Oryctolagus cuniculus: one gene and its partners. The protein of the gene in region 1 interacts with the protein of each later gene in a pairwise test. Links are inferred from orthologs where the notes say so. Each region holds a gene or a part of one and is shown in the gene's direction. Other genes may lie near its edges. The genes, in order: LRP6, LRRK2 and GSK3A.

Evidence for each region.
Region 2: the proteins of LRP6 (region 1) and LRRK2 interact in binary tests that used the Homo sapiens proteins (3 or more experiments, as listed by UniProt). The link is inferred for Oryctolagus cuniculus from reciprocal best matches to the Homo sapiens genes LRP6 and LRRK2.
Region 3: the proteins of LRP6 (region 1) and GSK3A interact in binary tests that used the Homo sapiens proteins (3 or more experiments, as listed by UniProt). The link is inferred for Oryctolagus cuniculus from reciprocal best matches to the Homo sapiens genes LRP6 and GSK3A.

The regions. Positions count from the first base shown.
Region 1 is NC_091440.1:109,799,485-109,803,127, reverse strand, and holds part of LRP6 (low-density lipoprotein receptor-related protein 6), read left to right. Parts: intron 1-87; coding exon 88-304; intron 305-802; coding exon 803-1,092; intron 1,093-3,077; coding exon 3,078-3,304; intron 3,305-3,643. UniProt on the Homo sapiens protein: Component of the Wnt-Fzd-LRP5-LRP6 complex that triggers beta-catenin signaling through inducing aggregation of receptor-ligand complexes into ribosome-sized signalosomes.
Region 2 is NC_091440.1:131,746,069-131,750,363, forward strand, and holds the start of LRRK2 (leucine-rich repeat serine/threonine-protein kinase 2), read left to right. Parts: upstream 1-1,464; 5' UTR 1,465-1,566; coding exon 1,567-1,723; intron 1,724-1,866; coding exon 1,867-1,952; intron 1,953-4,295. UniProt on the Homo sapiens protein: Serine/threonine-protein kinase which phosphorylates a broad range of proteins involved in multiple processes such as neuronal plasticity, innate immunity, autophagy, and vesicle trafficking.
Region 3 is NC_091449.1:12,818,452-12,821,893, reverse strand, and holds part of GSK3A (glycogen synthase kinase-3 alpha), read left to right. Parts: intron 1-218; coding exon 219-302; intron 303-434; coding exon 435-545; intron 546-2,315; coding exon 2,316-2,446; intron 2,447-2,535; coding exon 2,536-2,642; intron 2,643-3,442. UniProt on the Homo sapiens protein: Constitutively active protein kinase that acts as a negative regulator in the hormonal control of glucose homeostasis, Wnt signaling and regulation of transcription factors and microtubules, by phosphorylating and inactivating glycogen synthase (GYS1 or GYS2), CTNNB1/beta-catenin, APC and AXIN1.

The DNA.
Region 1 (3,643 bases):
CAGGCAATAGATTCATCATTTTCACATACCCTGAAAGGAAAAGTACATACCTCATCCTTCTCTCTGTCTCTGAACTTAAACTTGAAGGTTATGAATACCGATGGCACTGGAAGACGAGTACTGGTGGAAGACAAGATTCCTCACATATTTGGATTCACTCTGTTGGGTGACTACGTTTACTGGACTGACTGGCAACGACGTAGCATCGAAAGAGTACACAAGCGAAGTGCAGAGAGGGAAATCATCATAGATCAGCTGCCTGACCTCATGGGCCTGAAGGCCACGAATGTTCATCGAATCATTGGTAAGTGATTCCAGAATTTACTTAGAAGTAGAGACCAGGAATGAGAGAAGGAGATGGTAGCTGTAAATCAACAGTGTAAGTTGTGAATGTTGTGATATAAGACAATAGAGAATTTCTGTTTAAACCCCTCCCCCTTTGTTATCAGAAGGGGGTCTTCTAAATGCTGACTTCAAACTCTGGCTTCAACAGCTGGAATGGCTACAAATAGATACATAGACACTTGAATGCTGTCATCAAAAAATTAATTCTATATATGAATAATGCAATTTATTTTAAAGCATTCTAAGGGTAAAAAAGCAAGTGTTTCATTGTACTTTCACTCTCGACTAATCTTAATATTGCTTGATTTTGAGATTAGAATTGAAACTCCAGATTGAAAGCAGATGCATACAATCATAGGTCTTTGTGAACCAGATACCTAACTAATTTTCAAGTGAAAATGTTGGTTTTTGTCAGTGTTGGTGCTTTTGTGCCCCTCATCACTCCCTTCTCTTTTAGGATCGAACCCTTGTGCTGAGGAAAATGGGGGCTGTAGCCATCTTTGCCTGTATAGACCTCAGGGCCTTCGCTGTGCCTGCCCCATTGGCTTTGAGCTCATCAGTGACATGAAGACCTGCATTGTCCCAGAGGCTTTTCTTTTGTTTTCACGGAGAGCCGATATCAGACGGATTTCTTTGGAAACAAATAATAATAATGTGGCCATTCCACTCACTGGCGTCAAAGAAGCTTCTGCTTTGGATTTTGATGTGACAGACAATCGAATTTACTGGACTGATATATCACTCAAGGTTAGCGAAAGAATGAGTGACTAAAAAGAGGACTTCTAAAGTGTCTGAATCTTTGTACTGTGACCAATCTCCCTCATTGCTTGCTAGGTAGAGTTCAGCAGAAACCCTTTTTTAACTTTTTTAAGGAGTGACGAGAAAGGCCCATTCAGTATTTCGTTAGGTACCTTTTAATGCAAGATATTTTGCTAGTGTTCTAAATCTGCAAGAAATAATCTCCCTCTAGTTTGTTCCACATGAAGATGATGAGTGATGTTTTCTGTAATTAGCTGAGTAAATAGTAGTATGCTTCACATAAAACAGCTTATAGAGGCTTGGCTCTTGACTTATTTGAAACAGAATTTTGGAGCCTGACTGAGGTTGTTAATGCCAGTTATCAGGGCAGGCGTTGTGGTACTGTGGGTTAAGCTGCTGCTTGGGACATCAGCATCCCATGTGACATGCTCATTTGAGTCCTGGCTACTATGCTTCTGATGCAACTTCTGCCAGTGTGCCTGGGAAGCAGCACATGATGGCCCAAATTCTTGGGTTTCTGCCACCCACTGGGAGGCCAGCATTGAGTTTCTAGCTCCTGGCTTTAGTGTGGTCCATCCCTGGCTAGCTGTTTTTTGTTTTGTTTTGCATAGTTTTTAAAGATTTATTTATTTATTTGAAAGAGTTAGAGACAGACTGACAGACAGAAATCTTTGATCTGCTGGTTCACTCCCCAAATGGCCACAATAGCCGGAGCTGGACCTGTCCAAAGGCAAGAGCTAGAAGCTTCTTCTAGGTCTCCTTTATTTGTGCAGGGGCCCAAGGAGTTGGGCCATCTTCTGCTGCTTCCTCAGGCCATTAGCAGGGAGCTGGATTGGGAGCAGCCAGGATTTGAACCGGCACCCATATGGGATGCTGATGCCTCAGGCAGTGGCTTTACCCACTATACCACAGCTCTAGCCCCCTGGCTGGCTGCTGCAGGCACTGGGGGAGTGAACCAAAGGATGGAAGGTCTCTCTTTTCTCCTCCTCTCCCTCTTTCACTGTCACTCTCCCTTTCAAATAAATAAACACATTATTTTTTAAAAGAAAAGACCACTTTAAAATGATAGTGTATCTTTATTTTCTTCTTTCTAAAATAAATATTGAAAAACATACAAGGATAGAGGGGGAAGTTCCTGACCAGAGAATCTGGAGAATATCTCTTCTTCTTCTGCAGTGATTCGGGCTTGGTTTGGATAATGTACATAAACTTTTATCTAATATGCAAAAGCATGGGCGTAGGACCCACAGAGAGTTGGATTCTAGTCATATTTAGTAAATTTTATTGAGCAAGTGAATAAATGAAGTACATAAGTAAATCTTGGCTTTTACTGGGGGGCCTTCTAAGTTCCTTCATTCTGCAGCTGAGGTGCTGCCGGTCTTGCAGGGCTGTTGAGCGTATTAGGTGAGAAAATCTGTGGGCACAGAGTACTTAACCCGTGTTCAACAGGAAGTAGCATCTGTTATAAATAGCTTAAAATGTGGTGGTTTCAAATTCTTTGGAATGCAAAGCTTTAGTGGTACTAATGGATAGTAATGGCTATTCCGATTTATAAGGTTATTTAGAGTTTCTCGGATTGAATCAATGACTTGGCATACTCACATACTTTGGAAAGCTGACTACCAGTAAAGAGTCTACAGCATTCTGGTCAGATCTTTTGCACTTGATTACTGCTAAAAGAAGAATTAAAAGAAGAATCACTCTGTTACCTTTTTTTTTTTTTTTTTTTTTTTTGAAGAATTGATTTTTGGTTCTTAACAGTTTCAACTGAATTGACAATAAAATTTGAGATCACAGTTGTGTTTAGTAGAGATTAGTATATTTATGTATGCATATAAATTTTGTCAACGTTGTTAAGAGACATTGGTGCTTATGAACTATCCTGTTCCCAACAGAAAGCAGTTCAGACCTTGTTTCTGAATTGTGCTCGATTCGTAAGCCATGTGACTGACTTGTTCATTTTATTTTTGCAGACCATCAGCAGAGCCTTCATGAATGGCAGTGCACTGGAACATGTGGTAGAATTCGGCTTGGACTATCCAGAAGGCATGGCTGTGGACTGGCTAGGGAAGAACTTGTACTGGGCAGACACAGGAACAAATCGAATTGAGGTGTCAAAGTTGGATGGGCAACATCGACAGGTTTTGGTGTGGAAAGATCTAGATAGCCCCAGAGCTCTAGCATTGGACCCTGCTGAAGGGTAAATAATAGCTTTATGTATTGTCCTTTACAGCTTCATTGCCCATTTTGAGGAACATGGCCTAGTTACGGATTATATTCTTTTTTTTTTATTTATTTTTTATTTTTTTAAAATTTTTTGACAGGCAGAGTGGACAGTGAGAGAGAGAGACAGAGAGAAAGGTCTTCCTTTTGCCGTTGGGTCACCCTCCATTGGCCGCCGCGGCCGGCCCGCTGCAGCCGGAGCACCGCGCTGATCCGATGGCAGGAGCCAGGTACTTATCCTGGTCTCCCATGGGGTGCAGGGCCCAAGCACTTGGACCATCCTCCACTGCACTCCCTGGCCACAGCAGAGAGCTGG
Region 2 (4,295 bases), about 22 Mb from region 1:
TCTTTGCCTCCCAAGGCAGTTATCATGGGAGGATGCTCCCAAGAGAAGCCACAGGCCTTGGGCCTGCTCACAGGCTGGCTGACGGAGTGCCGGCTTCTTACAAGTGGTAATCCAGTGGTCTGGGAAGGGAGCACCTGGTGCAAAGGGATTAGGAGGAGGGCACAGAGGGAGAACTCCTAGGGACAGCGCAGTTACTGCCTCTGCGGCCGGAAGTTCAGACAGGTTCCACGCCGATTGGAAAAGCACACACTGGAGATCTGATAAGGAGTGCAAGGCGCTGTCTGTCGCTTTTGGAAAATCTTATACAGAGAGAGAAGTACCATAGATTGCACGAACGCTTCTCTTCCCTTCAACAGGGATCAACCCACCTCTGCCTCCGCCCGTGCCAGCCCTCCCCTCCCCACGGGGGACTCTGGAGCAAACCTGAGCGCTCCGTCATTTCAACCACAAACGCTCCGGCCTGTGTGTGAAACATTCAAGGGGCATTTTCAAGGTATCCACTGGGAAAGCGAAGCCCACTCTGATTAAGGCGGGAATTGGGAAGACCTCAGTCCACCTGGGGCGAGTCCGGGCTCCCCAGTGCGCACCTGCGGGACCTCGGCTCAGCCCCACTCCCCAGCTCCAGCCCCCAGCTTCCTCTTTAGTAAAATGTAAAATGCCACCGATATGGGAACGGAGAAGCACTAACTTCCAGCCCAGCCTCTCCCTCTCTCAGGACCCCAGCCTCCACCCCCCACTCCCACCCCCGGAGGCCGCCCTGCCTTCCATCCGCAGACGCACAGGCCCACAGAGTCATTCTGGACACTGAGCAAACAGACTTGAGGTTTGGGTCTCTCACCTCTCCTTTCACTTCCCCGTCTTTCTCTCGGTTCCCACGGCGCGCAGAACCCACCCTGCCCGGCGTCCCCTCCACCACGGTGCCGCCTGCCGCAAACTCAAGCTCGCAAGTTGGTTTCTGGGGGCCTCCTGAGCCCCGGGGCTCGCGATAGCAACGGGGAAGCGCATGGTGCGTCCCCCGCCGCGGCCACGGCAGAGGGTGGCCGGGCCCTTCTCCCCGCGCACCGCTGCATCCCTGGGGCAGAGCGCATCCCCTAGCCCGAGGCCGCGATCCCGACCCGGGAGGCTGGGCCGCGTCCCCTTCGCCCAACGCCCGGATTCTATTCTTAGGTCGGCAGGCCGCCGGCTTTCGCTTTTCCTTTTTTCCAGGGCGCAGACCTCCGGCGGGCGGGCCGCGGTGGGGTCGCCGTGGGCTCCGGCCGCGCCGCCGCCACCGCTGCCTACGGGATCCGGCGCCGCCAGGGCGGGTCTCGCGGGCGTGGGCGCGCCCCAGCCGGGCCGCGGATCCACGCTTGGGCCGAGCCCCACGCAGGCCGCGGGCCCGGGGCTCGGGAGAGGGAGGCGGGCCCGGGAGAGGCAGGGCCGCGCCGGGCGGGGCCGCCTTCCCCGTGGGCGGCGCGCGCGTGCGGCCGGGGCGCGGCGGGCCTCGGAGGGCGGCGCGCGGGGCCGGCCCGGGCGCAGGAGGCCTCCTCGGGGCGCGGAGGGCGGCGGCTCGCAGCCCGAGCCACCATGGCCAGTGGCGGTGGCAGCAACCAGGGCAGCGACGAGGACGAGGAAAGTCTGAAGAAGTTGCTGGTCAAGCTGAACAACGTCCAGGAGGGCAAGCAGGTCGAGACGCTGGTGCAGACCCTGGAGGACCTGCTCGTGTTCACGTACTCGGAGCGCGGTAAGGCGGCCGCGCAAACTTTGCGCCTCGCTGCGCCCCGAACCGGTCCCGGCTCCTGCGCTCCTGCCGCCCGGCCTTCCCCGGGGCGCAGAGCGCCAGGGGCCCTGACTCTGCCTCTCCTCCCTCACCCTCTTGTCTTGCAGCCTCAAGGCTGTTTCGGGGCAAAAGCTTCCACGTGCCTCTGCTGATCGTGTTGGATTCGTATATGAGGGTCGCGAGTGTGCAGCAGGTGAGGGCGCCCCCCTACCCCACCCCGCGACTCCTTCTGCTGGGAACCCGACGTTTCCTGCCTGCCGGCGGGGAGGCCGCATCCCCGGGGCTGCTGGGCCGGGCCGGGCCGGGCCGAGCCGAGGTTTGGCCTCCGGAACCGCTGGCTGTCTTGAGGCTGGAGGCATTGTTGGGGGATCCTGAGCTTGACTTAACGGGCTGAGGGCCCGGCACGCTCCAGTCCGCTTTCCCAAGCCGCTACCCAAAGCTGGCTGCAGGGGTTGGGTGGCCGCGGGGACTGCTGTTGGCAGGAGGAGCCAGCCCCCCGTCGTGTCTGGGAGGAACCCCTCTGAACGGCTCCCCCACGTGCAGCCGCGGTCCAGACCAGACCGTCTGGGAAGGGCGAGTTTGACCAAGGGGCGCAGGGAACGGCAATCAGACGCAGTTAGGCGGCTGGAGGTCTGCGCCCTGGCTCTCCGCGGCTGCTCTTTCCAGTCTGAAGGCTTCCGCGCCTTCGTGAGATTCGGGCTGCGTTGTAGGATTTAAAGGAAGTGATGTTTGCTGATTGCCTCACCTGTTTGAGTTGGTGCTTCGCTAAGGTTTGTGACCTAAAACCTCTGTAGGAGTGAAACTTCGAGACCCTGCAGCATGGGGGAACCCAGAAAGGCGCCGAAGGCCTTCGGGGCGTTCAGGCAGGAGTCAGTGAGCCTTGAGAGTGGTTGACCCCAGGACGGTTACTCCCCAAGGTGATGACGTCCTGTGCAGCTTTTGAGATTTGGGGAACTGAGAGCAGTCCTGTGCCCCGCGGGTCAGGTCGCTGGGGGGAGGGGCCCGCGCACTGATCTGGCAGGCTGCAGCTGGGAGAATGGCAGTGTCTCTCCACCTTGGGTCTGTCTCTGTACCTGCAGCTCCTCTGCATGAGCCCTGGGCCCTGGATCTGCCTGCTTCCTATGAGAACACTTACATCTAGAGTAAATGTTTATTTTCTTTCAATGGCGAAGTGTTTGCCATCTGACAGTTGATGTTCTGTCTGCTGTCAAACCAAACCCAGAGGGAAGGGCAGGCGTGGTCAAGAGAGTCCTCATTTTAGCTCTCGAGTCTGGGTAGTTGTTAGGGGCTGGCTGATGGTGCTTGCTGCTGTCACCCACACCACCCTTCTTCCAGCATGTGCTGGGTGTTCTGGAGTCTCTCTCCCAGTTCTCTCCCCGGGATCCTGCACAGCCTTGGGTATGCACTGTGGGGAGGAGTGCTGCTCTGGGAAGCCCAAGGGAGCCAGGAACATAGTCCCTGATTGTTAATTTGAGAAACTGCCCGAGCCTGGGGTCGTTAGGCAGGTCCCTCGGGGTCTTTGCACAGAGTACCAGAGGCAAAGCGTGGTGCACAGTAAATAAGGGATGATGGACATGGCACCTTTTGATTCTCACAGGGTCTCACTGCTCGGAGAACTCCTGCTGGGTATCTTATCTAGCGGGAGCTCAGTGGACATTATGAGACTCCCTGGGGGTCTCAGAGTTGGGGGCTTGAGACTTTTCGCACCCCCAGGTTCTCTTTCCGTCTTGAGCTGCAGTAACTGCAGAATGCGTGCCAGGCACAGGCTCAGTGGTTTGACATCAGGACATCAGTTTGAATTAGGTGGTCTTATCTGAGGGATGTGGAAAGGGGCCTCTCCACGTAAAAGCAGGTTTCTCCCTCACCAGATTTTTTTGACTGTCGGCGCAGAAGACTTGAATGCTTCACCTGCTGCAAGTACATATTTAAGGAGTTAGGTGCCTGACTCTTCCAAAAGGGCTTTCTCAGAAGCCCGTTAATGTGACACTGCAGGCTCTGAGTTCTTCAGGACCTTTGTGTATTTTACGAATGCTTTAAGTAGATGACTGTTGGGAGACCTGGTAGCTAGGCCAAGTTCTCTCTCGCTGCCGTTCATTTCCTCTCTGCTCCTCAGTATTACTTTTTATCCGCACAGTCTCAGCCACTGAAAAGGGGGCGCAGAATCAATGAAAGTGGCTTACAATCTTGCTAACCTCTGCACTCCATTGTGCACTGATGAGATGCTTGGGTTTATAGGATCATTATCCTAAAGTGAAGCTACTGATGTGATTGCGCAGTAGCTGTGCAGAATAGGGGCCTTCTTCGGAAGATAAGCTTTTAATGGGCTGGATGAATGCATCGATTGTTACCTCTGCTGCTCTGCCAGAGATGGTCTTGGCTCACACACGCTCCGCCGAGCTCCTGCAAGCTCGGTGACTGCATCTTTCTGCAGAGCCGTTGTTGATGCTGCAGTTTCAACAACGAAAACAGCACAGGTTTTCTCCCTGTGTCAGCCAGGCAGGTACAGACGCGAGGTGAGCATCCTCGGTGATTCATT
Region 3 (3,442 bases), on another chromosome or scaffold:
CTCACACACGCCTGGGGTGTGGGTTTAACACGGGTCTCCAGCTTGTGTGGAAGAGGAACTGGCTGGCAGTGAAGCATTCGAGGGGACCCCAGAGGGACCTCGGGGCCGAGACACGGGGAGCAGCTGCCTGGCTCTGTGGGCGGGCACGGGGGAGTGGGTGTGCGAGGGAGCGGTGCAGAGCCGGCCGTGTCCTGAGACTTTCTCTCTCTGTTCCCAAGAACCGAGAGCTGCAGATTATGCGTAAGCTGGACCACTGCAATATTGTGAGGCTGAGATACTTCTTCTACTCCAGTGGGGAGAAGGTGAGACCGGCGCACGGGGGCGGGGTGCTGCACCGTAGCCCCACCCATCTCTGGGCCTCCCCGCTTCCCCCCTTGCTCTCCATGTGCCGCCCCGCATCGCAGTGCCTCACCCTGCTCCTCTGCTCTCTGCAGAAGGATGAGCTTTACCTGAACCTGGTGCTGGAATACGTGCCCGAGACCGTGTACCGGGTGGCCCGCCACTTCACCAAGGCCAAACTGACCATCCCTATCATCTACGTGAAGGTAGGCGGGCGGGCGGGCGGGCGAGCTCAGGCCACAGAGCCAGGAGCCCTGGAGGGCCTGTGCCCCCCGCCCTCATCCCAAGAACCCCAAATGCAGCTCACGGGGGAGGGCCAGGTGAGGCCTGACCAGGGGTCTGAGGAGGCTGCCGGGTGCCTGCTCAGATCCGCACTGGGACGGGAGCCCAGGCAGCTTCAGGGACGTTGGGGTTAGCACCAAAGAAAGGAGTGCGGAGGGAGTGCTGCCGAGGTCAGGGTCCGGGCCTTCGGGACCGTGGGGGGTGGGGTAGGTGGCAAGGAGCTAGGGTCGGGAGGAGCTCAGTGTCCACAGAACCGGGAATGTGCCTTCGCGCCTCGTCTGCAGGCTCCCTCCCCGGTGCTCGGCACCGTGCCCTGGGTGTGGCAGATCCTCAGGAGGTGTCTGAATGAATGAACTGACGCGTGAGTGAATGAATGCAGCGCAGGGACGATGTGGAGGGCAGAGGCTGGAGCGCCCTGCTGCACTGGCAGGAGGTGGCCTGGGCCCGGTGGCCCGCGCTGCTGGCTGTGAGCGCCCTGCGCCCGCGTGAGCCGACGCGGCTCTGCCACTGCTTGTTGCTGTTGGAACTCACCTCCTGGGAGAGGAGTTCTCTGGTGGGGTGACCCTGTCCCGTGGCTGCCTGCCTACTGGCTCAGTGCTGAGCAGGCCAGAGGCTGCCAAGTGAGCCCAGTATTGCCGTGGAAAGCTCAGTTTGGTAAGGCAGACAGACGTCCCAGGAAACTTGCAAACTTACCAGCTACTGCCATGCTGGGGCAGCCCCCAGCCCAGCCTGGGTGGGGAGGAGGATTGAGGAAGGCTTCCAGGAGACCAGCGCGGGTTGAGGAAGCAGCATCTCTGGTCAAGGGGAGTGGGGACGGAGGAGGAGGGGCTTGGGAAGCAGTGTTGTGTGTGGTGGTGCCGCTGAGGCGCTGTCGGCCAGGTCCTGCTGTGGGCCCTGGGGGAAGCAACAGTGATGCAAACAGAGGTGCCTGCTCCCTTGGCACCCAGGTTCTAGCTAGTGGGAGGATGGGTGGTAGGAAAATGGAGATGGAATGGAGGCAGGTTTTTTTTTTTTTTTTTTTAAGATTTTATGCATTTATTTGAAAAGTGAAGTAACAGAATGAGAGGGAGGGACAGAGAGGAAGGTCTCCCATCCACTGGTTCACTCCCCAAATGGCAGCAGTGGCCAGAACTGGGCTGATCTGAAGGCAGGAGCCAGGAGCTTCTCTGGGTCTCCCACGCAGGTGCAGGGGCCCAAGTGCTTGGGCCATTTTCCATTGCTTTCCCAGGCCATAGCAGGGAGCTAGATCGGGAAGAGGAGCAGCTGGGACTTGAACTGGTGCCCATATGGGATGCAAGTGCTGCAGGCGGAGGATTAACCTACTGCACCACAGTGCTGGCCCCTCCTGGGTGGTTTTGATCATGACTTAAAGAATCTGAGCCCCTCTTAGAGGCAGTGGTGTGGGCGAGGAAGCCCAGGGCCTGGTTTTCCAGCCTGCTTTGTGACAGGGCTTTCTGAGTTTCTGTGTTGCTTTTTGCAAGCGAGGGCTTGTTGCCGATGCCCCATCCTGAAGTCCCAAATCAGAAACTGAGGGCACGGAGCGCAGCAGTCCCTGTTTAAACAGACCCTTTGAGTGAGGGGTTTAAGAGTGGGCTTCCCTGAGGGCAGCAGGAGAGCAGGCCCTGAGGCCAGGACAGCGGTGGTCAGCCCCGTGGGGAGAGCTGGGCCCGACGTCTCTGTCCTGCCCGCCCCAGGTGTACATGTACCAGCTGTTCCGGAGCCTGGCCTACATCCACTCCCAGGGTGTGTGTCACCGTGACATCAAGCCGCAGAACCTGCTGGTGGACCCCGACACCGCTGTCCTCAAGCTTTGCGATTTTGGCAGGTGGGCCTGGGCGGGGGTGCGCAGGGGGCTGCAGGGGCAGGGGTCCCTACACCTTGCCTCGTCTTCACCCCTGCCTGTCTCTTTCACAGCGCAAAGCAGTTGGTCCGCGGGGAGCCCAACGTGTCCTACATCTGTTCCCGCTACTACCGGGCCCCAGAGCTCATCTTCGGAGCCACCGATTACACCTCATCCATTGGTCAGTTATGGGAGGACGGAGGTGGGGAATGACAGTCTTGGCGGTATTTGGTTTTTATTTTTATTTTTAAATTTGAGGTAAACAGTGCTCCCATCCACTGGCTGGGCTGGGCCAGGCCAAAGCCAGAAGCTCGGAACTCGTCAGCGTCTCCCATATGGGTGGCAGGAACCCAATTACTTAAGCCATTACCTGCCTCCCAGGGTCTGCATTAGCAGGAAGCTGGAATCAGGAGTTGGAGTTGAGGTTGGGTATGAGACCCAGGTACTTGAATATGGGAGGGGGGCTTCTTAACCGCTAGGCTGAATGTGTGCCCCTGGGCGGTTTTTGAGCTCTTTCTCCATGCTGTGTGCCAGACTGGGTCCCTTTCACTCAGTCCTCACCATCTTGGGAAGCCAGTGCTGCTACAGGCCCATTTTACAGATGAGCAGCCTCAAGCTTAGAGCCAGGAGGCCCCTGCCGGCCACTGCACCACTGGGAGTGTGCAGGGCTGGGATCTGAAAGCTGACCTGATTCCAGAGTCCCTCCCGTCTCTGGAACCCCCTGGTCAGCTCTCCATTCTTGGCTGGCGGGGACCTTGGGGGAAGCCGGAGGTGAGACTTTGCCACCACGAGGGCATGCCTGCTTCCAGGGCCTGTATGTCCTCACCTGTTTGAGGGTGACAGTGCCACCTTTCAGGATGGGGGAAGGCCAAGAAAAGGTGGTGGGCACGAGGGTTTGACAGGCATTCATCAGCAGTGTGAGGGACTTGGTGCTTCTTAGGTATGACCTTGCGCCCTGAGGGTCAAGGTACTAGGGAGGGG